4 linked regions of the Alligator mississippiensis genome follow. The protein of the gene in region 3 interacts with the protein of the main gene of each other region in a pairwise test. Links are inferred from orthologs where the notes say so. Each region holds a gene or a part of one and is shown on either strand. Other genes may lie near its edges.

The links.
Region 1: the proteins of SATB1 (region 3) and TOPORS interact in a two-hybrid assay, tested with the Homo sapiens proteins (2 studies listed by BioGRID and IntAct). The link is inferred for Alligator mississippiensis from reciprocal best matches to the Homo sapiens genes SATB1 and TOPORS.
Region 2: the proteins of SATB1 (region 3) and PIAS3 interact in a two-hybrid assay, tested with the Homo sapiens proteins (2 studies listed by BioGRID and IntAct). The link is inferred for Alligator mississippiensis from reciprocal best matches to the Homo sapiens genes SATB1 and PIAS3.
Region 4: the proteins of SATB1 (region 3) and PIAS4 interact in a two-hybrid assay, tested with the Homo sapiens proteins (2 studies listed by BioGRID and IntAct). The link is inferred for Alligator mississippiensis from reciprocal best matches to the Homo sapiens genes SATB1 and PIAS4.

Annotation. Positions count from the first base shown.
Region 1 is NC_081826.1:167,090,842-167,098,990, reverse strand, and holds the start of TOPORS (E3 ubiquitin-protein ligase Topors), read right to left. Parts: upstream 3,252-8,149; coding exon 3,093-3,251; intron 3,077-3,092; exon of another isoform or gene 2,887-3,076; intron 2,812-2,886; exon of another isoform or gene 2,703-2,811; coding exon of another isoform or gene 2,691-2,702; intron 1-2,690. Other genes in the region: tigger transposable element-derived protein 4, read left to right, coding at 4,601-6,145; NDUFB6 (NADH dehydrogenase [ubiquinone] 1 beta subcomplex subunit 6), read right to left, coding at 6,818-6,886. UniProt on the Homo sapiens protein: Functions as an E3 ubiquitin-protein ligase and as an E3 SUMO1-protein ligase. Probable tumor suppressor involved in cell growth, cell proliferation and apoptosis that regulates p53/TP53 stability through ubiquitin-dependent degradation.
Region 2 is NC_081838.1:17,651,645-17,659,136, forward strand, and holds the start of PIAS3 (E3 SUMO-protein ligase PIAS3), read left to right. Parts: upstream 1-4,282; 5' UTR 4,283-4,297; coding exon 4,298-4,609; intron 4,610-5,278; exon of another isoform or gene 5,279-5,357; coding exon of another isoform or gene 5,358-5,381; intron 5,382-5,914; exon of another isoform or gene 5,915-6,138; coding exon of another isoform or gene 6,139-6,153; intron 6,154-7,492. Other genes in the region: ANKRD35 (ankyrin repeat domain-containing protein 35), read left to right, coding at 253-411. UniProt on the Homo sapiens protein: Functions as an E3-type small ubiquitin-like modifier (SUMO) ligase, stabilizing the interaction between UBE2I and the substrate, and as a SUMO-tethering factor.
Region 3 is NC_081828.1:151,601,436-151,609,442, forward strand, and holds the start of SATB1 (DNA-binding protein SATB1), read left to right. Parts: upstream 1-4,613; 5' UTR 4,614-5,039; coding exon of another isoform or gene 5,040-5,043; intron 5,044-5,257; exon of another isoform or gene 5,258-5,615; intron 5,616-8,007. UniProt on the Homo sapiens protein: Crucial silencing factor contributing to the initiation of X inactivation mediated by Xist RNA that occurs during embryogenesis and in lymphoma.
Region 4 is NC_081839.1:5,585,462-5,593,583, reverse strand, and holds the start of PIAS4 (E3 SUMO-protein ligase PIAS4), read left to right. Parts: upstream 1-4,676; 5' UTR 4,677-4,756; coding exon 4,757-4,783; intron 4,784-8,122.

The sequences.
Region 1 (8,149 bases), on a different chromosome or scaffold from region 3:
CGGTCTGACCAGCAGCCGATAGAGGGGAAGTATCACCTCCTTGGACCTATTTCGTCATCCATCTGCTGATGCACGATAAAGTGTCATTGGCTTTTTTTTTTTTCTCCTGCAGCTCCCCCACAGAGGCAGAGGCAGGCACAGCCAGAGGAGCCACGGGAGAACCAGCAGTCACCTCACTGTGCCTGCCTCTCCCCGGCCAATCCAAATCTCTGAAACAGATTTGGCCAAATCAAAACAGAACAGTGATCCAAAACACCTAAATGAATCGCTGTCCCCCAAAACAGCCCAATCAGCTACCTCTGACCCAGCTTCTGTACATAGGGGCCAAGCAGCTGATGGTAGCAGGCAGAAAGGAGGTGGAAGGAAGTCAAATACTGCCACCACACAGTTCTGCTGATTCTTAAACTGGATTCATTGATCCCAACAAGCTGCAACTGGAGCTCAGCAACTTTCTGCGTCAGCTCTTGTGGAACAGAATTGGACTGGCTGGAATCCGGAAAGGATCTCCAGAAAGACCCCACTTACTGCTGGGAGGCACAGTAGTCCTGCCTGTCCTATTCTGCTGTGGCTCTGGGGAAGCAGCAGCATGCTTGGCAGCCATATAAAGTCTCTTTGCAGGCTGTATCCAGTACATAGGCCATAGGTTGCTGACCCTCAACCTAGTGAGTTTTCAGAGAAGTCAGCACTCCATAGTGTAAGGGCTACTCTGATCTCAATCCTCGTTCTTCCCTTCCCTGCCACTGGCTGCAGCTCCACTCCAGCCCCCACCCCACAATCACATCTTTAAAACCATCCCTCCCACACTGCTGACCCATGTCCATTTCTTTGAAGCCTCTGCATTTGAGTCAGTCAACAGCTCCTCCACACTAGCTAGACACACCAAGAGCAGCACAGAAATACAGCTGCTCTGTTTTCAGTTCCTGCACTGGTGCCAGAGCAACTAAGAGCAGTAACTGCAGGGAAAGTCCTGTTAAACCGTTGCAGCCCTGGGCCGTAGCACACACAGTACACATGGTCTCTCAGGCAATTCAGCTGCCACATGATACCAAGTCTCTGCTAACTGAATGAAAACTGAGATTTGTATCCTGTTCCACAGACACCTCTCCTAGCACAGCAAACATCACATTCCTGCTACAAAGGCAACTCCCTCTGTCCAATTTTCAGTTGGGGATGAATATATCTAGATACAGAAAGGGACAGAGACTAATTCTGGTACCCTAGTCCTAAACCTTTTGGATACAGTAGGCTATAAATCATAGCAAATAAATAAACAAACTACAATCTAGTTAAGCCCCTTGCCTAACTGCTTAGACATCTAGAAGTCCATAAGCGCCTAAATTCTTTGCTAGCCTTTGCCAGCAACACCCCCCATGCTGCCCAGATGCCTTCTAAGTCTAAAGCTGACATCCTATGGACAAGGCTGAGTAAGATTCATGCCTAAGTCCAGCCTGGATTCACAAATTAGGTTTACTGGAGGAGGCATGCTCCAAGCACCACATCTAACAAGCTGGGAGCATTACATCAGACATTTAAAAAATGTGGCTGCCAGGGGAAGAGGTGGTAGTGGTGGTGCCACCACCTGGGATATGGAAAATCTGTGCTCTCATCAGCCTGATCAGATTCAAAACCATGCCTCCCACTTCCCAATACACAAACAAACCTAAAAACAGACAGTGTAAGCCAAGACATTCAGAAGTGCACCCTAATTACTAAGTGCAGAGCATGCTGGCTCTTGCTCCCTGTTCTTAGTCTTTCATTCCTTGCTATACATCTTCAGCAAGATTACTCCTACCCTGCTTAGCTCTGTCTGATCACTGTGAAACACTAGCAAAGATAAGCAACCTACAGCCCACAAGCTGAATCTGGCCCATGGAGTGGGGCACTGGGGGCAGGGAAGCTTTGGTGGTGCTGTGTTGGCTGGCCAGGCACTTTGCACATACTATGCCAAGGTGAGGCAGCAGAGAGAAGTGGCAGCTGGGTTGTAACACTTCAATCAGAGCTGGGTCATTTCACCCTGGCACCAGAAAAGGCTGCTAACCCCCACTCATATGGAGAATGTTAGGAGCCCCCTCAGCCAGAAGAGGACACAGAAAGCATTTTCCAGGCATATTCTTTACCTACTAGACTATTACATGAAACACAAAGTGTGACCACTTCCATGTCCTCCTTCCCCCATGTCTTAAAGAGCACAAATACTCCCACGTAAAGGAATGACTTGAAGCCTAGTCCAGCGGTTCCCAAACTCTGACAGGTTGCGCATCACCCATTTAAAATGATACAACCTTAAGTACCACCAGCAATTTTTTGTCACATAAAGTAATTATAATAGATCTGTTAACGCGTACCACTGACAGGCTGTTAGCATATCACAGATTGGAAACCACTAGCCTAGTCTATGCTACAAAGCTTTACAGGCAGATGTCCACACCCAAACCTCCTCTGCAGCAGCAGAACCAGCAGAATGAGCCCACCTCTGCTGGGCACGCTAAGGCTTCTGATGCCATCAGGTACACGGGGACCCCTCCACCAGCAAATTTCCTACAGCTGGTGCCGCCCAGGTTACACTTTAGGCTCACACAGCAGAGCTACTACATGGAGCCACGCAAGCCGCCAGAAAACCAAGGACGTTTAACGCTGGCAGAAGTATTGGGTGCAGAAGCAGCCTATTGTAAACAGGGGCTCAGACTGACCTTCTCCTGCATGCACGAGATCCAGGGCTGCAACTCACCCAAGCACAGGCTGTGGGGGAAGGGTCGGGAGATTCCAAGCCCAGACTTCTCCCTCCCTCCCTGATCATCAGCCTAAAGCAGGAAGGACCTGACCACTGCTGTGACTCTCCCTGATACTCCCCGCCCCCACCCGCCTGCTGGAAACTTCCACCCGCACCTGGGAGGCTGGTGTACGGAAGGCGGCACCACCAGGGGCCCCCACGGAGCGGGGCGGGCAGTAGGGCCCGAACCGCCGAAGCCGGGCTCCTCCCGGGGGCGCCGGGTGGGGAGGGAAGGAGGAAGGAACAACGCGGCCTGCCCCGCCCTGCCCCGTGCGCAGACAAAGGACGAGGCCGCCACCCCGCGCCAGGCCCAGGCACTCACCGCGCCGCCGCCGCCCCGCGCCCCACCCGGGGCAGCCCCGCGCCCGTCGCCGCCCTCAGGCGCCGCCCGCGCGCGGTTCGTGGCGCCCGGCCCGACCCGCAGGCGGCGGCGGCCCAGGCAGCGTCGCGCGTCGCAGCCGCAGCGCAGTGGGTCGCACATGGATGATGCCCCCCCCGCCGCCCGGGCCGGCCCGGGACAGCGGTGCGGGGACTGCCGGGAACGGAAGGGGAGAGCCGCGCTCTCCTCCCCCGCCCCCAGGGAGGAGGTGAGGGGGCACGCTGCGCCGGTGACGCCGCGCGGCAGCCATCTTGACTGCGGGCAGAACAATGCCACCCCAACCTCGACTTAGTCTGTGCCCGCACTAAATATGGCGGCGCTATAGCTCTCCCCCCCCCCGGGCTTGACGGTCGCCATAGTGACCCCGTGTCGCCCCGCCCGCGGGAAGGCGCCGCCCGAGCGCTGGGACCATGGCCCCGCTCGGCCCGCGGCAGCTGGAGCGCGTCTACACCGTGGTACGGGCCGGGAGGGCGGCGTGGGGGGCGGGCCCCGGGGCGCGGCCTGACGCGTGTGGTCCTCCCGCAGGTGCTGGCGGTGCTGGTGCTGCTGTCCTGGGGCTTCGTCATCTACGCCACGCGCCGCGCAGCGCAGGGCCGCCTGCAGCGCGACTCCTCTCTGCCCTGAGCATGGCCGGGCGCCGGGCCCGCGCCCAGCCGTGACCCGTGGGCAGGAGGGAGGGGCAGCTGCAGACGGATGCCCCGCGCCTCCCCGCGGAGACCTGCAGCCTCCCTCCCAGGCCGCCCGGGAGAGCACAGCCCTGCACTGATGCCACCGTGAGCAAGCGCTGCCCCGCGGTAGGCAGGCGACTCGACGGTGGCAGCTGTTTCCCACCCGTGTGCGAGGCAGCCCGCCTGCGGCAGCTTTCCCCCGTTCAAACCAGCCGTCGCGTCAGTTCTTCCCTGGGGGCCTGAGACACAGTCAAAAGCTGCCCTTTGGGGAGAAGCAGGTTTGAAAGGCCAGGCCTGGACTTTGGCTGCACCCAGAGCAGCCGGCAGGATGACAGCCAGAGCGGATCGGGTGCTGGGGCGGCTGAGGGATCCAAGACATGTGCTCCTGAACAGCAAAGTACTCTGAAAACGGGATAGTTTCCTAACGGTTCATCAAAATTAAGGGGAAAAGTTAATGCAGCAGAATTGGGTTCAGTTTAGTCATTAGGTAAACTTGTCCCTCTTGTGTTCTTCAGTGCATTTCACCATTCCTATTCACAAAGCATTTCAGCTACTTTGTCACTGGTGCAAACTATAAGCCGTGAATTTCCCACAGTCACCACATACAGAGGTGCAATGTAGTTTGCTCTCCATAAATCTTTGGCGTATCAAACTGACCGCCACCTTGCGAACACATTGCAGATTTAACTGAAGTGCTCTCGTGAGGGAACCAGCTTAAGGCATGTGACAAGCAGCAGCCAGGCCTAATTCCAGCTTGATGCCAAGCATTTGAATAGAGAAACAATGAGCGGTAAGGCATATCGAAGCACCACATTGAGCAGGAAAGCAGACGCCATACGAGAAATAGCTAAAGGTAAATCAAAAGCCCAAGTATGTAAAGAATTTGGTGTGCCACGTACCACACTGAATGGCTGGCTGCAAAACCAGGAAAAGATTTTGGATGCCGTTGACCAAGCAATGTTTCGTCCAGATCGAAAGAGAATGCGTACAGCGTTAAATGGCGATGTAGAGGCTTGCCTGGTGCAGTGGTTACGACAAGCCTGTGCAAACAACGTTCCTATTAACGGGCCCTTGCTAGCCTGCAAGGCTGTTCAGTTTGCCAGTCAGCTGGGCATCTCCGATTTTAATTGCAATGAAGGATGGGTGGAAAGATTCAAGGCACGCCATGCTATTTCACTGAAGCGAGCCTGCGGCGAGGGCAAGACAATCCCTGTTGGGGGCATCCAATTGTGGAAAAACACAACCTTGCTTTCTATCCTTCGTGAATATGATGCTAAGAACATTTACAATGCTGACGAGACGGGCCTGTTTTACAAAATGCTACCAAATAAAACTCTGGCTTTTAGAGACAAGAGGTGCATTGATGGTGAGCATAGCAAACAGCGCCTAACCATACTGCTGATGGCAAATATGGATGGAAGTGATAAAAGGAAACCATTGGTGATTGGTAAATCAAAGAACCCATGTTGTTTCAAAAATGTGAAGAGTCTCCCTGTGTATTACACTGCAAATAAGAAGGCTTGGATGGTTGGTGCTGTCTTCGAAGAGTTTGTGCGAGATTTTGATGCAGAGATGCACACTCAGAAAAGAAGAGTGGCACTCATTGTGGATAACTGTCCAGCTCATCCAGCAAGCATTAGTGGCTTGAAGGCTGTTCAGGTTGTCTTCTTACCTCCTAATACCACGTCACACAGCCAACCCATGGATAGTGGTGTGATTAAAACCTTCAAGGCTCACTATCGTCGTTTGCTGATGAGCAAGATCTTGTTAGCCATGGATGCTAAGGAGTGCTTTAAGCCAGATGTTTTGATGGCAGTTCAGCTCATAAAACAAGCTTGGAATTTGGTGCAGCAAAGCACAATTGCCAGCTGTTTTTGTCATGCCGGATTTGTCAAAGAGCATCATGTACCACCAGAAGCAGCTAACTTTGAAGCACTCTACTCATCTAACATGAATGAACTGCGCTCACAGCTTCAGAGTTTAGGCATCTGGCCATCAACTCTCACAGCAGATGATTATATCAATTTTGATTCCTCTCTCTGTGTGGCAGAACAGTGCTCTGATGAGGATATTGTTGCAGCAGTGCAGAGCAAAAGAGATGATGCAAGTGATGACAGTGAAGTGAGTGATGAAGAAATCCAGATGCCCTCTATACCACTTGTCAAGCCAGCTGATGCTCGCAAAGCATTGGATACTCTTCAGCTTTTCTTGGCTCAACAAGACATAGATGATCAACTGTTCCACTTTGCAGAATTATCTTCTATTTTGGCAATGAGTGCATGTAAAAGCACAAAGCAAAAGTGTTTGACTGATTTTACTCCACTGTAATCATTTGATTATTATATAGCAAACACGCTGAATTTTTGTAATAAGACATTTGTACATTAAGCATTTCTGTATCATTTTTTTCCTTCACTATGTCTGAAGTTAGTCTTTTATTATGTCACTATGGCATGCAAAATGCAGTAGGTAATGGTGACTAATTATCAGTAGTTACTGTTTCACTTGCTGTGATTGTCATTCATGGATAACTAGTCATTATTGTTAAGTCACTCCTCTTGAAGTGATTAAGTGTTTGTCTGGTGCATGTGTTTTGCTGCCAATTCAAACTATTAAAACTACCATAATTGTGTCAAAGCTTTACCACGTAGATTGTTTAGCAGAAAAGCTGAAAACACTTAGTATTTTTTAACTCAAAACATAAAAAGTTCAACTTTTTTGTTAGCCCGACAAGAACTCCGAACAAAGATTCCTATTAAAAGTTTTTCATTATCTTACTTTACCAGTTTGTCCCTATAAGCAGGTTCCTGAAATTACTATCTACTATATGCACTGGTGAGTTGAGAGAACAACAGCCTTTTCTATAATAAACATACCTAGAAAGAAATAAGATGACACGTTAATCTCACGGAAGTGGACTTTATTGTACAGTTCATCCACATATATGTAACGCACTTGCATAAGGACAAAGCCAGTGCTTATCATATCACATTCATTCTTTCAGTGATGACCACTAATTTCTTCTGCCAGTGGTGGGACTACTTCTCCTGTCTCTAGAATTGTGTCACCCTAATGAAATGAAAAAAGATCACGATGAATATTTGTCAAGGGTCTGATCACGCATTTCTAAATTACAAACACTAGAAAAAAAGTAAACATTATACTGGGTCAGTTCTAGATGGATTCTCTTCAAATAAATTTGAATCCTTTGCCCACATTTTCTTTAACTAAACATCGACAAGTAGTTTCTCATGACTTTACATGCAAACAATATTGTGCATTTCCCTCCATATCACACGCAGACACTCTTCCCCTTTGCAGAGGAAAGTCGTTTTGTTATTAGTTTGAAGTCAGGCAGAAGATAAGTAAGTTGCACTTTATAGACAGACTAAATCAGAGATGCATAGCATACTCTTTCATAAGCAGCAGACTTACTTCACCAGATGCTACAATGGAGTATCTGATGAACTGATCCTGCTGCTTGTGAAAGCTTGTTACGCAGCTCTGATTTAGCTAGTCTATAAAGTGAAAATCTACCCTGCCTTCTGCCGTTCTTCCCTTTTGCTGTGCAAGCACGCTAACCTAACCACACATTAAAAAGGGCATCTTTTTAGAAATGGAACTCATTCTAGGCCCTGGGACTACACAGTCTTGAGTAAGTCCTGCTTACACTTCATTGATCTATTAGATTTCAATATATTCTCTAAACGTGACCAAAAGCACTCTACAGCCCCAGGTGTGCCCCCATATCAGATGACAGCCTCTCAAACTCTCTAAGTGCCCCTTAGCAAAACCTTTTCATAGTATTTTTTTCAGGTTTCATGGCTTTTACACATTCCAAAGGGTGCTACGGAATCAGTACTCTATGATTCCATACCAAGCTCATCTGTATCCTAAAGAATGGGTAACAGGAAGTGAAGTGGGAGCTTGTGCTTATAAAAAGAGTGAAAATGCTCCAGCTACCGTGATTTGTTTGCCTTGAATAGAAAGGAAAACCTTCATAATGTAAAGCTTTGTGGAGAAATCCAAGAAGCAGTCAACATGGTGCTCATAGGAACAGTCAGTGATAAGCAAGGATCCTGGTTTTCTGTTTAAAAATCACAAATTCTCTGATAAAAATGCACTCTCTGATTGAAAAACCCCAAATCCATGATTAAAATGAAATGCCCACCTGGCAGCAGCGAGGGGCACAACTCTGCACCACTACGCCTGCTGCTGGGTGGGCAGGGGGCACCTTGCCAGGGTGGTGCGGAGCTTGCAGCAGCAAGGAGTTACCCAGTTCCGCTCTGCCCTGCTGCACCAGGTCCTACCCACTGGGCTGCGGAGGCCTCA
Region 2 (7,492 bases), on a different chromosome or scaffold from region 3:
GCTCAGTGGCAAAAATGGGAAAAGCCAAGGTGAAGCACTGAATTCCTCGGGCGGCTCGGTAGGGAGCACTCTCTCCCCTTGCTCCGTGCTGCCCCAGGGGCCTAGTCCATGCTCCAAATCGCCCTGCGCTAAATAAGCCGACTTCGATCCCATCTCGTCCGACCGGAGCATCGTTCTCACTGCGTGCGCTGGGTCTGTCTTGCCTGCGGTCCTGGACAGTGCGACCCATACCCTGTCTCTCCCTGTCGACAGTTCCCGCTGCAGCCTCCCCCGGTCCCTGCAGCACAGCTTGCCTGTGGCCACCAGCTGTCGAACTCGCAATACCCCTCGATGCTGAGCGACGTGGGAAGGCGCTGGGTTGCAACCCTCCCATGGCAGCTGCGGGTTGGGCCTGCGTCCTGGAAGCAATGATCTTGCGCAAGGATCTGGCTCGTGTCTCAGGATCAGGACTCTCACCCCATGTGGAAAGAGACTTGTACCCCTAGGATACTGAAGCAGCGATTGCTCGCCTCTGGGTTTGCTTTGATCTCTGCCTCCCAGGGCACCGGGGATCTAGCCAAGAGACATCTACAAGACCTGAGATGTCACAGGGTCTGCTCCCTGCCATGTGAACTGCCATCATGATAACAGCTGCTAAGACAGCCTGGCAGCGTGGGGGGGGACAGGGACCCAGGACACCTGGCTCTTCTTGCCCTCGCAGTGTGCCCGAAGCCATGTCCTGTGCCTCTCTGGGCCTCAGTTTCCCTCTGTGTATCTTGTCTATGTCAAGTGTGGGTCCTGTGGGGGGATTTTTTCTGGCCATGTGTGTTTTTTTTACATGCCCACCACCCAGGGGGGCCCAATCTTGCTTCTGAGGGTCTCCAGATGCTGCCTTAAATCCACTAAGAAATAATCTGGAAAAGAAACAAAAGCCCAAATCTTCTCTGCTGGGCTGAATCAGCCTCACTGCCCCAGAGTCAGGCTGGACTTGACAGGTCTTCCCCAGCACTGGAGCTGGCCCTGGGTCTTTCCCTTTCATGTCTAACATAGTCATTAAAGTGCTGCAAAACTGCATTCACCTCTTTGGACATTTTGATTTCCCTCGGGGGTACTCCAGACAGACCTCATGGCCTTCTACTTGTGAAATTCACGGTCGTTGTCATCAGCCCGGGGTGGGTGGTATAGGACACCTTCCCTGATCACTGCTGAGAGCGGAGAAGGGGCTCCCTATGCCCCGTCCTGGGTAGTGCTATGATATGCATGGTGGCCTATAGCAAGGAAACAATTGCATTAAGAGCCTGGCATCACCCCAGCATAAAACAGAGTTGCACCAGTTCGGATGTCCCAGGGGCAGAGACTGCCTCTGCATCTCAGATCTGTGCAGCACCTAGCATCAGGGGTTCCTGGTACTGCCATAGGATGGGTCACAGTGATTCAGCTCGAGCTGTGGTTTACTGGGTGAGCTTATCCTGGTTCAGTGTTTGGATGTGTTGGTGCTGGGGGTTAGCCTCTCCGGGTTCAGCTCATCCCTCTGCTGCCAGTTTTCTGCTTCATGCCCTGATGCAGGGGCTGCCAGCCAGCTTGGAGCTGGGCCCCGGACCACAGGCGGGTTCCTGCCTGGTTGCCTCCTGGTGCCAAGTGTCTGGATGGCAACGGCAGGATGGGCATCACCAGCGAGGTGCTCACTGTCTCCCCAAAGCTGGGCATGGGAGGACAAGGCAGCCTGTGCTGGTGGGGCTGGATCCCCCACCTGCACCCCCAGCCCGTCTGCTGCTCCTGGGCCCCATGGCAAGCTGAGTGAGGGATGCTGGCAGCAGGCAGTTTGTCCATCGCCCCACAATGCACCGCACAAGCGACTGTTTCCATAGAGAAAAGGAGGAGTGTGCAGGCTTTTGTTGTCCGCTCAGTTAGGGAGCAGAGAGAAATCGCAGTGCTCTGGGTTTTACCTTCCCAACCGTGTACGGATGGAAGCAGATGCATGCCCCACTACACTGGCATAACATATATGGGGGTAGTTTTACAGCAGATTTTTCCCAGGGTAGCTTTACTCCAGCTTCTGGGTCCTTACACTGGTGCATTGGTTCACATCATCCCCCCACCCATCGCTTCTACTGGTGTAATCATGCCTAGTGTTCAAACCCAGGAGAGCGGGGAAGTGACTCACCAAAGGTCCCTTAGCAAGTCGGTAGCACAGCAAAGGTCAGGTGCTATGATCCGCGGTCTCATCCAGCGCTAAGCCTGCTGATTGATTCCCATTCAGAACAGGCAGTGGGAAACAGCCCATGGCTGAACACTGTTAAGCTGAGAAGAAGTGGGGAAATTATTCCTAACATCTTCAAAGGGGCCTGTGGACAATCTGGAGTAAAGGCATTTAAAACTAAAGACAGTCCAAGCCTGTTCTGAAATAATCATTATTGTCCTTATGCCCTTGTTCGCACCCACAGAAGTAAAGTGCGCAGTCTTTATATGCAGCTGTCACCTCCAGGGTCCCAAACCCTGTGCAATTAGTCTTAAAACCACAGGATTTTTTAACAAAGATTCATGTTCGGTGCTTCTTATTTGCCTGCTGTTTTGGATTCCTTCGGGCATCACGTTTCCATCCATTGGCCAGTGACAGTAGCACGCTGAGTTTCTGTTAGAGGTGCAAACACCAAATAATTCAAGCTGCCAACAATGAGGTGTGAGCTCTGTTCCCCAGAGAGGTAAACTGAGGCATGGCAAGACTGGGGTGAGCAGAGGATGCAGGGTCTTCTTGACCCAGACTATGAAGACATGGACTCTTGAGTGAATGGGCTGGAGGAGGAAGGAAACCAGCTTTGGGGAGAGAAAGTAGATGGCTGCAAACCTTGTCTCAAACAGCACCTTGCAAACCCTGGCAGATTCACATCAACTCAGGAGAGAGGTCTCCGGCTGCAAGATTGACCTTTCCTGCTTCCGTGTGGTGAGCGTCAGTGCTGATGGCAAGCACTGTTTCTGGGAACCAGCATGGACTGGACAGTGGACTGGAAGCACTGGGCATACCTGCCTCTGTGTCGGACCTGTGTATCACAACCCCTTCTGAGCCTCAGTTTCCCCTCCCACTCCAGGGCTCTTCATATTGTAAGCTTCTTGGGAGAGAGGCCGTTTTGTACGTACAGCACCTTGCAAAGCAGGTCCTTGTCTTTGTGGGGCAGGTAGGTTGTGCTGTACTTCAACCAATGAGCACAACACCATGGCTTTCCAACTAGCATCACTGCCGAAGTAACATAGCTAAGATTAGAAAGGCTATTTGTGCTAATACATACTAGCAGCATGTATTGCTAACTGCAGATAGCATCTCCCTGTGACGAGCATAGCCCCTATTTGCTATGAGCTCTAACAAGAAAGATGAGAGAATGAACAAGGCCCCCAGCTGCTACCCTTGCTAATACCCTCTGTATCCCACCCTTCCTCCCCCTTCTTCTTCCCTTCCTACCTTCTTTTCTTTCTCTTTCAGGGTCCTGGCATTTGAGAGGCTGGGCACTTGCTAACTATGCTTGACTGTGCTAGCAGCAGCTATCAACCATCAGTTCGGGGGTGGAAGCCAGTAGTTTTGCTAATCCAGATGCCTCCATAGTCTTTGAGGCCTAGAATATTAACTCCAGCCTGCTGGCAGCTACTTGGCCCGTTAATACTCAAGTGCCATTAACTAGTAGTAACATTGTGTCCAAGTGCTCTACTAGTGTTCCTGGTTAATAGGAATCAATACCTAAAGCTGAAAGTAATTAATACTCCAAGTGTCTACTCAGGACTGGCATGGCAGCAGCCGCTATCTAGGAATAATGGCAACTCTCAAGTCATTTAGTGCTACGAGATCCCGTGCTCTCTGCCACCAGCGACTCGGCAATGCTTTTAGCCGGACGGAGAGCACGTGGCAGCCTCCAGACAGCGCTTCTACCGTGTGTTCGGCTGCAAGATGGATCCCAGATGGCCTGAAACCGTAGCCAGCGCAGTATTTGCTGTACCTTATGGCTGCATTTTAATGCCAGATGCTGTTTGGGACAAGTAACCTGTTGGCTTCAACCTCCCTCTGATCCTGCTCGTGGGGGGATTATGCTGCGTGTCTAATAGACCAGCTTGGGCTGATCTTGATCAAACGGGGACCTGCCGACTGTCCCTGCGGTCACTGATTTCAGTGCTTTTATTGTTTCCCTCCCCAGAGAATGGTTAGAAACGTCTGGACCACATTTGTACAGAGGTGTGGTCTGCGTAGACGCTGCTTTTCCTTTGACTCCGCGGTTTTTGTTTCTCTTAGAGACGCTGGCGGGGACCCCAATCGGAGCAATGCAACGTGTATCTGATGGGTTGGGGGCTTCATCAAACTTTCTCTGCTGGGCATCTCTACCCCGCTGCTCCCGGGAACCCCCATCTCACCCGGCACTCACAGCAACGGCCACTGCCTTTGGGTGTCCGCACCTCCGGGGAGCCAGCGGCCCAGATCCAAGCGCGGTACGGCCTGCCGTGCTCACCACCGTCGCACCTGGGGCTGGGGAGGACGCGGCACGCACGCCGGAGGGCTCCTTGGATAGCCCAGAGACCACTTAGCTGTTTCCTTTTGACACGTGCACATTTTAAATTCCTTCTGGCTTGTTTTGCCCGTGGGCGAAACCAGGTGAGGCAGCAAGGGCTGGAAGGGATGGGGACAGCCGGGTCCTTAGGGCTAATCACTGGGCACTTGTCCCTGGTAAGAAGTCACGGGTGGGGGTGCTGGTACCCGATGCTCGGGTCAGGGCAGGGCTGGGGGCGGCAGCAGCGAGACTGGGGCTGCTCCTGGTTCATGCTAAGGTTTGATCTTAATGGCAGCTCATGTGTGGGTTGGGGGGTCTCTCATGCCCCTGCTCGTACTCAGAGTTGGAGGTACCTAATACCCTGCTAATGCTGAGGGCTGGGGTCTCTACCCCCTGCTAATACCCAGGACTGGGGGTCTCCAGTACCATTAATACCCAGGGCTGGGGTCTCTAATACTCTTGTTAATACTCAGGGCTGGGGTCTCTGATACCCCTGCTAATACTCAGGAATGGGAGGGGCGTCTTTAATACTCTTGTTACTACCCAGGGCTGCGGGGGTCTCTAATACCCAGGTCTAGGAGTATCTAATACTCAGGACTGTGACTGGGTGGGGGGGGGGTCTCTAATACTCGTCACCCCCCGGACGCGCGTATCCACTGCCCGGGGCTGGCGGTGCTGCGTGCGGCGGGGCGCGCGGTGCGGAGTTTAGCGCCGCTCCCTGGGCCCGGGCCCCGCCCCCAGCTCGCGCCCCGCCCCGCCCCGCCCCTCCCCACCCCCCCGCTCTGCGGCTGCCGCCGGGCGCGGAGTTTTGCCCGGTCCCTGGCGCGCGCCGCTCGGCGACGATGTCTCAAGATGGCGGAGGCGGCCGAGCTGAAGGTAGCGCCCCCCCCTCCCCCCGCCACACACCCACACCCACACCCCCGGGGTGGGGGGGGAGTCATGGTGGACTGAGGGTGGGGGGGCCATGACGGGGAGGGGGGCTGTGGAGATCTGTGATGGGGGGCTTGGTGGGGGAGGGGCCGGCATTGGGGAGAGCCGTGATGGGGGTGGAAGTGTGGGGGAGGGGTTGGGGGAGGAGGTGGTGAGGTGGGGTGGGGGGGGTCAGGGGCAGGTGTGGGGGTGCGCGCAGGCAGGTGCTGGGGGGCCGCAGCGGCCCGCGGGGGTTAGGGCAGGGCATGGCAGGGGCGGGGAGGGGCACGCAGCCGTACGTACGAGGCTGGTTGAGAGCAGTGGAGCCGGGGCAGCCCAGGGGTTGGGTCAGGGGACGGTGCGGTGGAGGCAGGAGGACAGGCAGGGTGCCCGTCCCCAGGGCTGGGGGGATCTGCCATCTCGGGTAGGGCTGAGAGCTGGGCGGGGGGCTGGGGCTGGGGGGAGCAGGGGTTGCAGCAGTGTGAGGACGATGCTGGGGAGGCAGCAAGGGGCAGCCCCGCTGGGGGGTCGAGCTGCACTCCCCCCACGGGGAGCGGGGACGTGGCTCCCCGCCGAGCCGGGGCAGGCTCTGGCCGGGGCGCGGCGTGCGATGTGGTCGCCCTGCCTGACGCTCGGCTGCAGCGTCTCCCTCCACTCCTTCTTTTTCTCTTTCTTGTTTATAGGAGTCAGAGTGTAACCACCTTTGCCCACCAGACTGTGGAATATGAAATTGCCCCTGGTAACTAATCCAGAGCTGATTGGGGTCCGCGCTGGCGGTTGATATTGTTTCCCACAGACTAGCATGTAGCCAGCTCCAGTCGCCTGCCCCAAGGCTGGCGACACACGGACGCTTAGGACCAGAGCAGGGATCTCATTCTCTACAGCTCGTGCTCCTCTGCGGTCTTCCCAGCATTGACCCATCCCCTTTTGATAGTCACTGAGGGGCTTGATTTCCACCCCCCCCCCCAAGAAAACTCTTAATGACTTCAGTGTGACTGTCTGGTTAATGTCAAAATATTCACGATCAACCTGAACCCAGGACTTAGGGCTGCAAAATTCCAGCTCCCTCCAGGATTCCTGCTGTAAAGGACCTGGGAGATTTGCCCCCCGTCCCAGAGGCTAGGTGGTTATCCAAAGGCCCGACGTCCACAAACTCGGATGCATAGCATGTGCTGATTAGGGGCCCTGATTCTGCCCAGGTTTCTGGGCATGTGGGTGATACCGCTGGACTCAACAGGGCTGTTCGGGTGCGTGCGTTAAGCACATGCATAAATCTGCAGATCAGGCTTGTAGCTAGCAAATAAGATATACTGCAAAACAGCATATGCAGAGGGGGAGGCGGGTGGAACATGCCTGGCATCTCATGCCGTACTCCTCCTGCACATAAATCACTGAAAAATAGATGTAGCTTAGCACTAGGTTGTGGATTCTCTAAGGTTTGGAGAGTCCTGAATGGTCTCCCAGGTTTCAGAGTGTCTTTTGGACCCTGAATTCTTCTGAATTCCCTTGTCCACTTCCTCTACCCCTTTCTGGTTTCCTAGCCAGTGGTTAGCTTCAGATTTTCACCATCTGGCTCTCATTGTAAAAGAAAGAGGAGCCAACTGGAAGTGAAACGATTTCTTCCTATAAAGTCTGGAGTGGGTTTGGACACCTTCCTTTATTTAAATGACCAACAATGACTCCTCTGGAAAGAGAAATGCTGGGAGCTTGTAACCTTTCATCGTGCTACAGTCGTGCATCCAGGCTGTTCAGCCCGGATTCGAGGGGTGTGAGGATCATTCACTAGACATGCCTCGGGTGTCCTCCGGGAGCTCTCGATTGGGATCTCTCATGGCCGTGAGAGTTTTTCCTCTGCTGTGCTACAATTGTGTGACCAGTAACTGGAGAAGGTTTAGGTGTAGATAGGAGCCCACAATGTCACAGTGGTGGTGACACAGTCGCTCTGTGTCATATGAGTACAGGTGGATTGTAAAACATAAATGTCAGTCTTGTGCTGGTGAGCCGCAGGATGCCGGTTTCTCTGGACATTCACGGGTGAGGGTGATGGGTGAGGGTTGTGTTTGGGCTCCACAAATGGG
Region 3 (8,007 bases):
AATAAAGTGTTCTTTCCACATCACGAGCCTCATTAAAATACTACCAGCAGCTCATTTGCTGCTTCAGGCACTAGCTACAGCTGTGAGAGGGTTAACACAAGACTCCACCCGTTCAGTTTGCCAAACACACAAACTGCAGCCATCTTGGCAGCTGCATGGCATGCAGTGTCTCTCCACGCAGGCTCCTTTTCCAGCAAAGGAAACAGCTCAGCTGCTTAAAACATGAGCCCCAATTTTAAGGGGCTGAGTTTGGGAGGAGGTGCATGTTGTATGTGAGAAAATATGGTACCTCTTCTGGCTCATTTGACTGTCTCATTTCACACCTCAGAGGCTGGGGAAGAAGTGGAGGTGCAGGGAGAGGACTGCATGAATGCGCATGCCCAGATTCGACTCTCATTTTCTCACCGGCTTTATTTATACGTGCATCTAAATACCTGACAGCAGCCTGTACACACTTAACTGAGGATCTACTGGTTTATCACATCTAAAATGGCATGCCTATATCTGTATGTCCTCAGATTTGTCATAAGAGAGTACTAAGACGGGGTACAGATTGACCTAAAGTACTTTGGCAAACGCATGCTATTATGAATTACCCCTTCTGAAAAATAGAATTAAAGAAAAATATTTTACGTTAAGTTCCTTCTGACTTCAATAATTTCTACTTAGTCTCCGTCAGATAGGTGATCAATAGGAAACTTTTTGAATACACATATTTATACACATCTTTCATGAAAAAAAATCCCATAACACTCAGGGGTATTGTGGACTTCTGACAGTCCCCAGAGAACTCTGAATCCATAAACTAATGAATGGATTACTATGATTCATAAGCCATTTTCATCTGTGACAGATAATCTTGCTCCAATACCATTAGTATTATTTAAACCAGAACTGCACCCCCTTTCCCTCAAATCAGCAGTTTCAAATTTCAAAAGATAAAATGTGGCTGTCAACATGAATAAACTGATAAATATATATGAACATCTGATTTGTGCTGTCTTGAAATTCCAGACTTCAGGGATGAGCAAGACAAGTAGAATATTCTGGTAGTTTTTGCAGGACACTTGGCAGGAGAACATTGGAAAATGGACACTAAAATTTCCTTTTGCAGCATGTATAAAAGCAACATGTCAGTGAAATGAAAGTTATATCGTACACCTGCTTTTTAGGCATGCCATCTGTGCTCTGTCATATCATAATATAGCAGTGTAATGGCACAGCCTCGATGACATGCCACAGATAAAGAGAATGCAACGTACCTCTTGCTCCATTGATGTGAATGACAAGACTCTGTAAAGGTTGCTGCCTAATATTGCAAAGAATAATATTCAAATATATTATATAGTGTTAGTCTTCTGTTTTTCATTATTTACCATATTATAAATATCATAATATCTTCAGCATCAGATGATTAGGTTGCTTCTGAAGGATCTCTAACCTGCTATACAGGTCAAATTAGTACATACCTCTTACAGACCACAGGATGATTTTGCAAACCTATTTGTACTAAAGTTATACTCAAGCTGACAATCTAACCATTACATTTTATTGGTCCATATGTCTGTCATGATAATAGAAATTGTTTAGGATAATTCAAGGGTTCACATAACCTGTTCTGCTGATCCAAAGAGTTTCAAATGTTAAAAATTTCAACATTTCTTGCAAACCAACAGGCATCCTTTTCAACCTTTTAATTAAAGCTGAACAGCAGTTCAATCCTTGTACCAGTTACTTATCTTGGCCTACAAACCACCAGTCATCTGCAGACCACATTTTGGGAACCACTGCAATAATTAACAAAAAGTTCAGTTTGAAATGATGATATGAAAGATAATCTTTCAGAACAAATCCTAGTAAGCATCAGATACTGCTTTTCCCACCTCATTTTTTTTTTGTCAAGCAAGAGAATCACCATCTCAGTGGTTCTCAAGCTTTTTAGACTCAAAGTACCCCTCAGAAAAATGTCAGCTCTTAGTTTTCGCTCCGTTTTGTGACTAGAAAAATAATACAGCAATTCTTCTGCTACAAAGAACTTGGAGCAGAACAGCTCCCATTGGATTCCTATTTGCAATCCTGAGGTTTATCTTGTGAATTATGTTTGCGCCTAACAAAGCTAAAGCTGCAGGGTTCCCCACAGCACCCTTGAAAGGATTTCACAGCACGCCTGTGGAAAATCATTGCATTAATCCTTTCTGTATGTTGAAGACACCTAGAATGAAAAGTACTTAAAATCTTACACAAAAAGTAAGGTAACAATGATCTTCTGACATGTTCATCTGCAAGTGCTTTCACAGCTATATGTAGCCAAGATATACTTGGACATACCTGCTCATGAAAGTGAAAACATCTTGGAGCAAGTCTTTACCATTACAGCAGAGATGTAAATGTTGGTAAGTGATTTCTTGTTTCAAAAGCAAACTGTCTGACTGCAGAGTTGGGGGTCTGTTGCAAAAGCCACCCAGTTTAACTTTACATAGTTATCAATATCGTGTACAAGGACACAAGCTCTAAAGATCCTCGTTTTCACACACACACACACACACACACACCTCTGTTACTAAAATAACAAGAAAATGTGTATATCACAACTCTCTCTTAAGATAATGCTCAGGAGGAAATCAAATCTAAACTGGGAATCAGTCAACTCCTCAATTCTAATCTCTGCATCTGACTCAATCTATGGCCGCAGACAAATAGTTTACGCTTTCTGTTCCACTTTTTCACGTGCATTTGGTGGATAGGTCAACGGGAAGTTACATGGATTCATTATTTGATTACCAGTATTCTGAAGACATGAAACGCTATCATCATTTGGATCCTCTGACAGTGGTTAACATAAGTGAAGGAGATGTTTAATAAAGAGAAAATGTGCCACACATGGAGCGCTTATCGGACAATCATCTCCAAGAAGCATCTGAATGAGTCTGTAGAAGTGCAAAAATGCTCTCTGCTTTGGCTCTCTTTATATTATCCTGTAATGTAACAAAAGATTTCAAAAGCCAAATTTCCAAGGTAAAAAACAGGGGGGGGGAACAGATCTTGCATTTAAGGTGAAGATAAGGGGATAACTTCAGCCCTTGTTTATGTCCTATATGAATGGGAATCTCCAATAGTCACTACGAGATGCTGGCAAGGTCAATTTTATTAATTATTACTACTATTGTGTAATCTTTGGGCTCCGTGTTCTCTCCCGATTAATGATTATTTACTAATGGTGTTACAAGCTTACAGCTTCTCCTAGCAATAAGCAAGACGGGTAACAGGTCAGTGTAGTAGGGACTTGTTAAGGAAAGATACCTCTGTGTAAACACGATGGTCTCTGTCATTTTGGAGACTTTCCCTATGCCCGAAGAAGGGCGTTTGTGCCCAAAAGCATGCCAAGAGCAATTTCTCTTTAGTTGGTCTAATAAAAGATTGCGCATCTACCCAAAGACCCTTGTCTGCCTATTTCAGAGATGGCATAGTTCTGTTCGTTTCTGAGCTGAAAGATCAAATTGTTAACCAAGTAAAAATAAAGGAAGCGAGTAGATTTGAGGGTCAGAGTCCCCCAGCATGCTCTTTTCACAAGCTTCTAGAGTAAAAGAGACATGTTTCAGCTTTCAGGAAAGCCAGTATTCACTGCCAGCTTCACTTTCCGGGAACTTGACTTACAAACGGTGCATCAGCTAAGAAAGGAAGGAAGGTGGTGGGGGAAGAAAAGTCTCTCTCCAGGCAGCAGTTGCATGGATGAGAGCATTCAGGCACCAAAAGTTATTTCAGGGCACTCTGTGCAAGCTCAAACACCACTTAAGAGATGGGGAGAATGAAAAGTGGCTTCTAAAAAATACTGAAAAATTGCTTCAGCGGGCTTAGAGTTGCAGGGGTACAGCTCGTGGCAAGAGCCTAACAAGTGAAATCTTTGCAAGGAGAGGAAAAAAACCAAACAAACCCCCAAAACAACAAAACCCACGAGCAAGCAAACAGAAACACAATCCGAGACCCATGCCCCCGCCCCCAAAGGAAGCAGGGGGCTACCAGCTGTCGGGTTCATCCACGCGGGTCTGCGAGCCTTCCCCGGGCGGCTGCTTCCCGCACAAGTTTCCCGGCCCCGGCCCGGATCCTCCCAGTATCGATAACCTTTGTCATGGCCCTTTCGGAGCCTGTTCCGCTCGCTCCTCCCGCCCGGGGTTGGGAGGGGGGAAGCAGCTGACAGCCGAGCATGTGGTGGATAAATATTGAAAGAAAGTGCGCCGGAGGGAGGGAGAAAGTGCCGCGGAAGGGGGGGAGCAGAGAGAAGCGGCGGGGCTGGGGCGCTGCTGGGAGCGAGCAGGGCGGGAAGGGAAGGGAAGGGAAGGGAAGGGGGAATAATAGCATGAAACCCCACCGCCACCAGCCCAACAACAACAGTGATTAGCTCCTACCCACCTCGCCGGGGCTGGGAGGGGATTGTGTGTGTCTCTCACCTGACTTCCTACTTCACGGGGAGGGAGGGGGGGAGAGGCAGAGCCGCGCACACCCGCCGCTCTCCCCAAGTCAGCCCCCAAAACACGCCGGGCAGGAAGCCGGCGGGAGGGGACAGACAGACAGACAGACAGACGGGCGGGCGGGAGGGCACCAACCGTCCTGCTGCTGCTGCTCCGGCCGAGCCCGGCTCTGGCTGCGGCCGCGCGCCGAGGGAGGAGAGCGGCGGCGGCGGCGGCGGCGGCTCCGGCTCCGGCTCCAGCGCAGGCAACCTCCGCCAGGGGGAGAGGCGAGGCGAGGCGAGGCGCTGAGCCCCCCGCGCCCGGGGCTCCCGGCCCCCCGCCCCGGGGCCGCATCCAGCCGGGCCGCCGCCGGCTCCTCCTGCGCGGCGGGCGGTGTAGCAGCGGGGGCGGGCGGGCGCGTGCGGCTCCCCCCCTTCCTCCTCCTCCCTCCCCCACACCCCCCCCGCTCGCCTTCCTTTAAACGCCCACTGCGGATGGGTGCGAAGCCAACTTGAACTTCAGTGCAATTAAGTTCGCCGGCGCCCGGGAAGCCGACGGTGTCGCCCAGCCTGGCCCGCGCTGCGCTGCGCTCCCATGAGTGAGTGGCCCTTGCCGGGGCCGGGGCCGGGGGTATCCCGCACCTGCCGGGCCGGAGGCGCCGGGCCGGGGGGAAGCGCGACTTGCCTCCAAAGTTTGGCAAAGTTGTCGGGGAGGGCTCGGGCCGGGCAGCGGGGTGGTCCCGGGGCAGCCGTCAATTTGCCGCCGGCGGCCCCGTGGCAAAGCCTCCTTCTAGCATCCCTCGTCCTCCGGCTGCCCTGCGCCGCGGGGGATTTTTTTTGTGTTTTTTCTTTGCCCCTCCTAAAATATATATTACAAAAGGAGCTGGCGATGCTTTGTTCCCACCGGCCGCTTTGGGAGCGAAGCCTTTGCTCAGTGGCCGGGGGGGAGGTCCTGCCCGGTGCCTCCCAAGTTGTCCCAGCTTGGCCCCTGCGAGTGCTGGGGGAGAGCCTTGGACCGCCGCAAACTTGGCTTGACGCGTTGGCCCCCAGCTCGTCAGTGGCAAGGAGTGACGAGGGGGTGGGGGCAAGAATGAGCAGTCAGCTGCATTCAGTCCATCTGCTGGGAAAGGGATCCACCACAGTTTGAGATCCCAGGACTCTCAAGGTGCAGGTAGGTGGGAGAGGAGCAGCCCTGCTTTAGGCTGCTCCATATGACAAGGGGGGGTGACTTTTTTTTTAGCAGCGGTTCTTTCCACTTTCTGTTCTTTGGGTCTAGGCAGGTTCATCGACTTGTCTGCTCCAGGCTGCTGGCAAACATTCGCGTGCAAGCTTACATTTAAAAAAAATTTTTTTTGACAAATGTGCAGACAGGACTAGCAGGAATAGGCATCTGAAATATTAAACAACCTAAGCATCTGTTGTGAAACAAATTTAATGTATTTACTCTGTTTTCTTTCTCGCGTTGTAGGGAAAGGTTACAAGAAGCGTAAAAATTGAAACCAGAGTTGAAGGGAATGGGTTGCATGTTTCAGGATCTCCTTAAGGGTTTCACACAGTCACCAGAGATAAAGGTGTTAACTCAGACGCCTTATTTCAAAACACAACTTGAAACAGGCTGCGTTCAGTGCGAAGGCAGGAATATAGTATAGCGCCTATCATTTGTATCATACTGTTACTATTACTCCACTGTGTTCGTGTGGATGAGGTTATTTGTATGACAGTCCTAAATTGCTATACACAGTTGTATTTTTTTAATGTTAACATATCTCTGTAGTTCTTATTCTTATTAGTTTGCTTACCAAGTGGAGGCAACGTCTCATTATCTATTGGCTATGACTATATAAGTAAAAAGCAAGCAACAAGATAACGCCTGCATGCAGGTTTATAACATATAACAAACAGCATGCATATGGATATAAAATAAGGTGATGTAACAAAAATAAAATCATTGTCTACGCTTGTACCCACTCCTGAATACATTAGCTAATGAAAGAGAAATCACTGACTCCAAGGAATTCCTCTTTGCCCTGTAATAAGAGTAGTCTAAGTTAAAGAAGAACACAGAAGCATAAAGTCTCCAGAAAGCCTGTATAGTTATTTTGGGAATCAATGCATTCCTTCTCTTTTTCCCACAAGTTCAAATATGTAATAAATAATAGTTCTTTGTATGCAAAATGAGTTTACTGAGGCAAAAATATTTAAATGGAATGCATGTTGTCCATACACTTTTAAGAAGTAACAGTTCCTTTCTATATTCTTTGTTATTGATTTTTAAATAGCAAAGTAACTATCTAAAAGAGTTTCCCCAGCTCTTCTCTTGTCATTTTAGCTTCTAAAACAAGTCCTTAAATACTGCTTTTTTCTGAGACAGACGTATGAAACAGGTGAAGTAAGCCTGTGATTCCATGACAGCACATAGTGCTTTGCAAGAATAGGGAAAACGGAGAATCTGCCAAATCAGCCAAAGCATGTATTTGAATGTGATGTAGAAATCATTTTGGTCTGACAGATCATGGTTTGCAGTGTAGGCCCTGGAGGTCAGCTGACAAACACCTGTCCTTATTATTATAGAGATCTTTTGGTTACAGATAGTATTAAACTAAAGACAGTGTGCTCTCTTCAAAGCACCATAGTGATTCTCTAATGTAAACTCCCAAGTGGGATGTAGGCAGGTGCACCTCTTCAAACCAGAGAAGTGTCCGTCTTCTGTGCAGTTAAACCTTGAATAACCACTAACTTCTGTTACGTTACTGTTTCAGTTGGAAAAGGGTTTGAAATCATATGACTTCGGTTCATTCCATCTTGAATTAATATCCAGTATTCTTCAAAAAAAAAAAAAAAATTTAACTATATGAACTAGTTGTTTCTTAAAAATATCCTGTTGACCCAGTTTCTTAACTGAAAACAATAAGATTTAACTCACAGTCCTCCTTAGGCACTTTAGTTATATTTGGAGAATTAGTCAAAGAGGTTACTGTGTTTTAATAAAACTAATATAAAAATATAAAGATCATCTTCTGAATCTGCACTAAAGAAAAAACTATAATTGAAGGTATACTTTTGAATAAAAAATCACAAAAAAGTGATTTTCCCCTCCCCCCCAAATTTTTTTTTCATCCTGTTTCTAGGGACGATGCTAGATACTGCTAGCACAGATACTACTGCAGCATTTTATCACCCTCTTGTGCATACCTGGCATTGCTCTCTCTATATTTAATAAATATCCACTGGAACCACAACTTTCCATCTAGAACAGTTTTAAACATAACTAGAGCATTTTACTTCCTTATAATTTACGTTAATAGATGACGAGTGTATGTACAATCTCCTTAGAAATCATTTTTTTTCCAAAGGGGATATTTTATTTTCAGTTGGGAACTAGATTATAAGAACAAAATAACTCAAAGCATAGGCAATTCTATATATCATTTTATTTTTTATTATATTATGACGATTGTATGATGCCTTCATTAAGAGCAATGGGATGAAGAAATTACAGACAAGCGGGTGTGTTTTACTTGAAACATTTAAAGTTTAGGGATGCTAAAATGAATGTTTTTGGT
Region 4 (8,122 bases), on a different chromosome or scaffold from region 3:
AGGTGGTTCAAGCACCTACATTGGACACCTTCAAGAGAAATTTGGATGCTTATCTTGCTGGGATCCTATGACCCCAGCTGACTTCCTGCCCCTCGGGCAGGGGGCTGGACTTGATGCTCTTCCAAGGTCCCTTCCAGCCCTAACGTCGATGAAATCTATTCCAGAAGACTCCCCAAGCTTGCATGTAGGAGACAGCAAGTAACTTCATGTATGGACAAGTCCTATGGAAGAAATAAAAGGTTACATTTTACAAGGGTGATTAGTCCTCATCATTTCAAAACTTTGACTGATTGACAGTCGCAGTCAGGAGGGAATCCCTCTGTTTTAGAGCTGTGCAATTGGATGGATGCATTTTGCAATGTAAAGAGCTGGAAGATTCACGGACTAATGGTACTGTAGTAAAAATGTGGATTTTGTTCGTTCTTGGAAAAGTGTATTTTTTCACTCTTCCATAGCTCATATATATAAATGGGAGAGTGAAACAACATGCTTTTCCAAGAGTGTACCATATGCTTTCTGTATACAATTGTACACAATTGTACTTTCCATATATTGTACAGCCTCTGGCTTCTTTACTTTTCATTCCATCTAGGAAGAGCACACACCAACTGCTGAACTTCCTCAGCCTGACAAAGGGTTTTTGAACCTGAAAGCTTGCTTAAAAATTGTTTTCCAACTATTTAAGTTGGTCTAATAAAAGATATCAGATTCACCCAAAGAACCTTGTCTGCTAATATACTTTCCAAAAGTAAACACAATCTCCATTTTTTTCAACAAAGAACAACAGCAAAAATGGATAATATTTGATTCTGGAAACAACTGTGGCCATGGTCAGAGAAATATTTTTCAAAAGTGCCTAGGTCACATTTTCCAAAATAACCAAGGCTCTTGAAGTCAGCCTAGTGAATACATTTAGACACCTAGATTTGTAGATGGGCACTAAATGGCACTTTAAAAAACACCTGCTCCCCAGATCCTCCCAGGTATTATTTATTATTTTATTTGGCAGACAAGGTTCTTTGGGTGAATCTGATATCCTTTATTAGACCAACTATTAAATAGTTGGAAACTATTTAAGTTGGTCTAATAAAAGCTATCAGATTCACCCAAAGAACCTGGTCTGCCTATGTCCGTAGACCAACACGGCTACAACCTACACCCTTATTCTACTTAAGCATTTATCACTCCTTGATTTCAGCTAGCGGATCTTAGGGGCCCAAACATTTGGAAGATCTCGGTTGAGTCATCTGAATTCCATTGACACTAACGTGTTTTTTGGGTTGTTTTTTTTTGTAATTTCCACTTGGCATCTATGTGGATCTTTATGTCTTTTATAAATCTAGCTCTGAAGGGTAGAAGTGAGACTCCAGCTTCAAATTTTTAAGGCAAAGGGGCACATAACTGAAGCAAACTATTCTCTTAAATGCACAGGTGACTTGAAAAACAGATCACAGGATTCCCTGCCTGCCCCAAAGCCTTCTATTCTGGGATCCTACAGCAATACAAGCTCATTGTCCCACCCTAGGTACCTGTGAAGAACGGAGATAACACCTTTTCCCAAGGCAGTTGGGGATAATTGAGTTAATTGCCATTAAGTGTGCATGCCTTAAGGACTGAGCCTGCTGCCTGTTTTTATGCAGAGTTAAAGCCTGGGCCAAACAGCTCCAAGATAAACTGGGCTCCGTTTTTTAGCCTAAGGTTCCTAAGTCACTTTGACACTTACAACATTGTTTCCCGTGATCTTTCGAAAGGCACAAATAGTCCTTAGGTGCACAACTCCTGTTGATTTTCATGGCGGTTTTGCTACTTTGTCCCTCAGAAAAATCCCCTCCCCAAACAGTCCTCAAGTCCAAAAATTATGAAAAGGGATCTAGGGCCCTATTCCTTTGCAGAGGTTTCTAAGCCCACTGATGTGCATACTGTAAACTACATCTGTCATCTCGTCAGAATTGGGGCCCATGTCGGTTACTTGAGTTTTGAAAGATTATAGTAGAAACTACCCAGTACTTCTGAAAATCTGTGAGATCTGAGGAAGAACATCTTGCATCTGAAAGTTTGTCTCACTTTATCCCAACTACGTAGTTTGCCCAATAAAAGATATCATCCTAAGAAAACCTTGCCTCTCGCATAATGTCTGGACCATCAGGGTTACAAAAATCACTCTTATGCTACTTTGAAAATCAGGTTATTTATCGAGGTGCCAAATATGGATGTAGGAATCAAACTTTGTGAAAATCTTGACCAACAAATACTAGATAGCACCTTTGCCTAGTTTACTGGGTTGCCACCTCTTACTGTTTTATTCTAGGATGACAAAATATTGGTCATGCCTTTTAATTCCTGCCCCTGGAAACAAAGGATTACTTGAAAATCTGATCTTTCATTTTTAAAGAGAAGTTTCTAGTTCTTGTGTTATAAAAGACTAAAAATATTAACTGATTGTACCTTAACATGTAGAAATCAAAATGAGAACCAAAAAAAAAAGAGTCCCAAATAGTTTTACAACATTTTTAGGTACTCTTATGGTATTTTGGGTCTTGAATAATGATTTTTGCTTGCATAGGGCTGGCAAGGCTGTGTTGGAATCCAAACCTTTTGAAGCAAATATATACATTTGAAATCTGCCTTCAACCTATGCTCAAGAGAAAGGTTCCTAAAAGGAAAAGATATAAAAGACTTGTGCGATTTTATACTTCTCTTTGGGTTTTTGGAGGGGGGTTTTTGCTTACTTTGTTAATATATTTAAATCAAAGGCCAACCAACTTTGAAGATAGATAGATAAAATATCTATCTATCTATCTATCTATCTATCTATCTATCTATCTATCTATCTATCTCTTGCACCTCCTATAGTTTATCTATCTATCTATCTATCTATCTATCTATCTATCTATCTATCTAATAGGGGTTTTGCTGCCATGGCAGAGCTGTGAGTGTGAAGTGTTATGCAAAAACCTGTATCTCTGCCTGTGGTTGTTACTCTTAGACACAGTGATATAACCACACCACCAAAGCACTTCAGCCCCTTGAAGCTAATGCCGACAGCCCTGTGGGGTAAGGCGGGTTTTTAAAATTAATGTTCATTCAGATGATCACAAGACGTTTGAGGGTCACACTTATGATTTTTGAAACTCTGGGGTCGCCGGTGCTAAGGCCTGCACCACCAGGACAGCAAGTCCCAGAAAGTCAGGACAATGCCGGCTAGCAGAGCTTGAGAGGGCAAATCTGAGGATCTAAATTTAGCATCTTCCTGACTGCAACTCCAGCTGAGTCATAGGACATCATTTGCTTTGTATCTGTTTCCATCTTGCCATATGGGTAAGGCTCATTAACATCCCTGGTGCCAAAGCCCAGGGTGTGTCAGCTGGAACAGAAGCAGGTCCATGGACCCTTTCTTCTTTCGGGGCTCTGCCCCAGGGGGCTGGGTCAGACCTTCCTGAGCCATGGGTGTCTGTGGGAGGACTTCAAAGTACAGATCCCCACTAGAAGGGAGGAGATAGCAGCAGCTGCATATTACCCTTCCTCCCCTCATCAGCCCTGGCAGAGCCTGTTCCACTTCCCAGGGATAGGCGGAGACTGGAAGGTTTTCCTTGGATAACTATGGTGGGCAACGGTGGGATCTCCTCCTCCTCCTCCTCCTCTCGGCTACTATGGAGAATCTTCAGGGGAAAGATACAGGCTCAGATCAGCCTGGGCCTCGTTGCAGGGCCAGGGTATCAAGCTCCTACGGAGCCAATCTGCCACGCGGTCAGTCGCGGGCACAGCCAGGACGCGCAAGGCCGGGGTGAGGACGGCTCCGGCCTCCCTGGGAATCTGCCAAGTTTATGGGATGCTCCCACAAGACACTTCATTCAGCTCAGGACTCGTGGTAGAGGCGATACCTCTTATTAGACCAGCTAGATTTTTGCAAAACAGTTTCTCGGATTGCAAGCTTTCGGGCGCAAGCACCCTTCATCGGGCGTCAGAGAAGAGGTTGGAAAAGCTCTGGATAGAGATGAAAGTTTCTTTCCTGGGTAGATGTGGAAGATCATAATCCCACAGGACACTAAAGCGGGTCAAAGCCCAGTCCCCAGGTGGGTAAGTAGGGTGGTGCGGGTGGGTTGGTAGGTGCGGGGGTGGGTGGGCATGCGTGCAGGGGTGTGCGTGGGTGTGTGCAGGTGTAGGTGTGTACTCCCGGGAATGACAGAAATCCAGCCCATCGTGGCGAACGATCCCAACTCCCTTTCTCCCGCAAGTTGGATCATCTCTGGAGCCCGACGGGCAGCTCGCACATGTCAAGCAAGCAGGATTTGGCCTTGTTCCCTCAAAGGACACCCTGCACCCATGAACCCACGCGGTTGGGAGCGATTCCAAAGATGCATCCCTTTGCCTTCGCCCTGAACCTGAGGACTGATGCTATACCCCGAATACAGCAAAGGAAGCACAGCACTTTACTGCGGACTATGCTCCTTCCACCCCGTGCTCGCACCTCCCCGCCCCTGGTTGCACGTGGGCTGGGCGTGAGCCCCGCTCCCTCCCTATCCCCGCCGCGCTCGGCCCCTTTAAGAGCCCGCGGCTGTCACAGGCGGAGGGGGCGGGTTTTTGGCTGCAGGCGGCGCCGGCAGGCGGCTGCACTGCGCCTGCGCCCGTGGCTGGGGCGGGAGCGAGGCTGCGAGAGTGCGCTCTGATTGGCCGCGCTTGCCCCCCTCGCCCCGCCCCGCCCCGCCGCTCACGTGACCCGGCGGCGGCTCCCGGCGCGGTGGACGCTGGAAACAAGATGGCGGCGGAGCTGGTGGAGGCGAAAGTGAGTGAGCGCCCCCCCTCCCCCCCCTCTCCCACGGGCGGCGGCGGCGGCCCGGGGCTGGGCCGGGAGCGGGGCGGCGGGGCCCGGCTCCGCCCCAGCGCGCCCGGACCCTCCCCCGGCAGCCGGCCGTGCCCCGGGGTCCTGCCCGGCCGCGCCCCCGCGGGCCGCACCTCGCCCGCCGCTCCCGGGGGACCCCCGCGCAGCCCGGGACCTCCCGCCCCGGCCCCCGCTCCTTCCCTCCTCCCTCTGCCCCGCCGCCTGCCCCTGGGGTCGCCCCGGCCCTCCCTCCCCCTCCCTCGGCTCGCGGGGCTGCGAGGGGCACCGGCCCCAAGCGATGGCGGGCAGCGTCCTCCGCTGGAAAGGCTTTTGGCGCAAGTTGCGAGGAGCTGTCCAAATACCTCCCGGCGCACAAATTCACAGCCGAACACTCCCGCTCCGCGGATGGTTTTGCTGAGGTCCGCGTCGAAGGCCGGGGAAGCTTTCGGGGATGAGCGTGCGGCGCCGGACGGTGTCGAGGGTCCCGGCGACCTTTGCATTTCAATGGAGGGGCTTTCAAAACGCGTCTAGTTTTCCAGAGCATCCCGTATATATAGTCTTGTGTGTATATATATAAGGGATGCTCTGTCTCGTATATAGCACCCAGCTCTTCTTTGTGGTCCAGCCCCACTGTGCAATACCCTGGGGTGTCTGAAGTGGGTGAACGCACCCGGGGATGAGCTCGAAGGCAAAGCTTCCTGTCAAATCGCCGCTCCTACCCGGCGACGGCCGAAGGTGCTTGGCGTACGGCCGGGTTAGGCTGGAAGGAAGGAATTCGCCTGCCCGGGGCAGCTGAGGGTTCGCGGCGCTGCCTGAGACGTGGCAGGATTGAAAAGTGGCAAAAGGATTGAAGGACGGATGCCGGTGGTTTGATCCCGCTGTTCTTCTGATGGGAGGCACCGTGGACACGTTGGTCATCGAAGGTGCGCGGGGGTGACGTGTGAGCCAAGCCGTCTTTCCTGCCCAGATGATCTTGTGAGGTCTCTTCCAGCCCTAAACTTGTGTGAATCTGTGGGCTTGGCAGACTGGAACTTGCCATCTTCTGCGCCCCTCGCCCACACGACCTCCTAGTTTATGGGAAAGCCTGCATCTGCATTGATATTGAAATAACCTCGTTAGCTAACGAAACCTGTATTTGTACCCGCTCCTTGATGAGTGAGTGACCCAAGCGTCTAGTGATTTGTTTTTCTCTGTGCCTAAATGTTTTGGGTTTTTTTTATTGGTCAAAAATCATGGTTGTGTTTTTTAAGACTTGAAACGCTTCTAAATATAAACTGCGTAAATGTAAACTGTTTTATGCTCCTGATGCCCCAAGTGATCTGAAGGCAAGAACAGTAAGTGCAGCAATAGCTTTTTTTGGAGGTGTTTTTGACTCTCTTGCAGTAGACATCTCACAGTCTTTAACGTTTCTTTATCTTAACTCTGCGGGGTGGCAAAGTCCTATTTTTTTCCATGCTGCAGACGAAGAACAGAAGCACAGAGACCAAATGACTCATCCCGAGCTACACAGCAGCTCTGTAGTGAAGCAGGGAAATGAACCCAGGTTTCCCAAGTCTTAAGACAAGTGTTCAAGCAACTGAACTTTCTCCAAAGCCCTTTCCCCCTTGCCAGAAGAAATTCCAGAACATCTCGGCTACCCGGCGTCTCAGTCCAGCCAGTGAGTTTGAGTTCTGTGTCCTCTTCAGTGAACCAGGAAGTTAGAGGCTTTCATAGTAAACTGAGAAAAATAAAATAATGTTAGGCCTTTCTGGGCTGAATACTACTTCCCACAAATAAACATGGCAAGTGAACGTTTTTGGTCTTACTTCATTTTTTTTAGTTTAAAATTAGTTTGTCCCTCTTCAGAGAATCACAAGAATACTGCTATCAACTGGTTTGCGTAGATTAATCTGACTTCAGATGGAAAGATCATTACTGGCTCTCCGATTTCACCTTCTGCTGTAGAATACTGTGTATAAAACACAAAGTACATTGAAGTGATAAATGTAGGTGCCCGCGAAACATTTTCAAGGCAGTTTGCATTTATCGGAAATGCACTTCATCGGTTCACCCTGAACACTTGTGACATTGTTTTTGGTAGTCAGGAGGGTCAGAATGATCAATCTCTGAATCTAAGCATTACTTTTAATTTAAAAAGCTCTTATTCTTATGCAGATAAGCTTTCCAATGTAGACAGATGCAATGTTGTCTTCCTGAATCTGTGAACAGGTATAGGCTCTCTGAACTTCCACAAGCATGAGAAGCTGAAATTGAGGAGATTGGCTAGTTTTAAATGGTCTTGAAAACCTTGGGTCTGCCTTAACTTAATGGTTTTATGGTGCTCCATTAGAACAGTAGCGAGGCAGGCACTGGGCCTGGTCATAGGGGTGGCTGGGCATGGGCCAGAGAAGCAAGTAGTCCCTTGGCATCCTTGCCCATCTGGCAATCTGATAGGCCCTGCTCTCACCCAGAGGATAAGAAGTCCTGGGTGATAAGGAAAGGAACTGTTCCCGTGGGCACAGGAAGACTGAGTAGAAAGGATTCTTTAAAAACATCAGACTGCAGTGACCAGAGACTGCTATGAAGATGAAATATTCAAACAGAGTCCAGAGAATACATCCTGGCAGAAAGAGGGAAGATGCTGAGGATGTCTAGCATCAAGACCTGGGTTTCTGACCAGAGGGTTCCCTGTGAATGTCATTGATGGCCTGGCCTGTCTTCCTACCTCCTGCTCCAAGAAAACCTCTTGAGCATCATCCTGTGGCTTGTTAGCATTTCAGTTCTAAAACAGGCATATGTGAGAATTCTCCTGCACATGCAGGCAGTGCTGATAACACTGGGATAGATGTGGCAGAGTCTTAAAACAGGGCGTTCTTCATACAGCCGGGGGAGCACTGTTGCTAGAGCTTCTATCTCCACTACTGACATTAACTGTTGCCTTCGCTTTAATGTAGGATGACATCAAAATACACCCAGACGCAATGGTATTTTTACAAAACGCACACAATTTTCCCAGGTGCCAGGCAGGGAATGAGAGCTATTGGGTAGGGCTAATTCCTTCTTTTGAAAGAAGGAACTAAGCCATGAATATGTATGGTGCAAAGCCACTCAGTGTCTTCCTGAGTTACTGTATAGTTGCTATTGCTTCCACTAAAATCAGCATGAGGCTACAAATGTTTGTAGTAATTTAAAGATGAGCTTGTGCCATCGCTTATCTGTATCAATAGGTTGATAATTCAGTAGATGGTCTCCTGCTCATTTCCATTGTCCAGATAAGTGTCTAACGCACAGCATGTTAATCAGGTGAACAGCAGCTGACCTAAG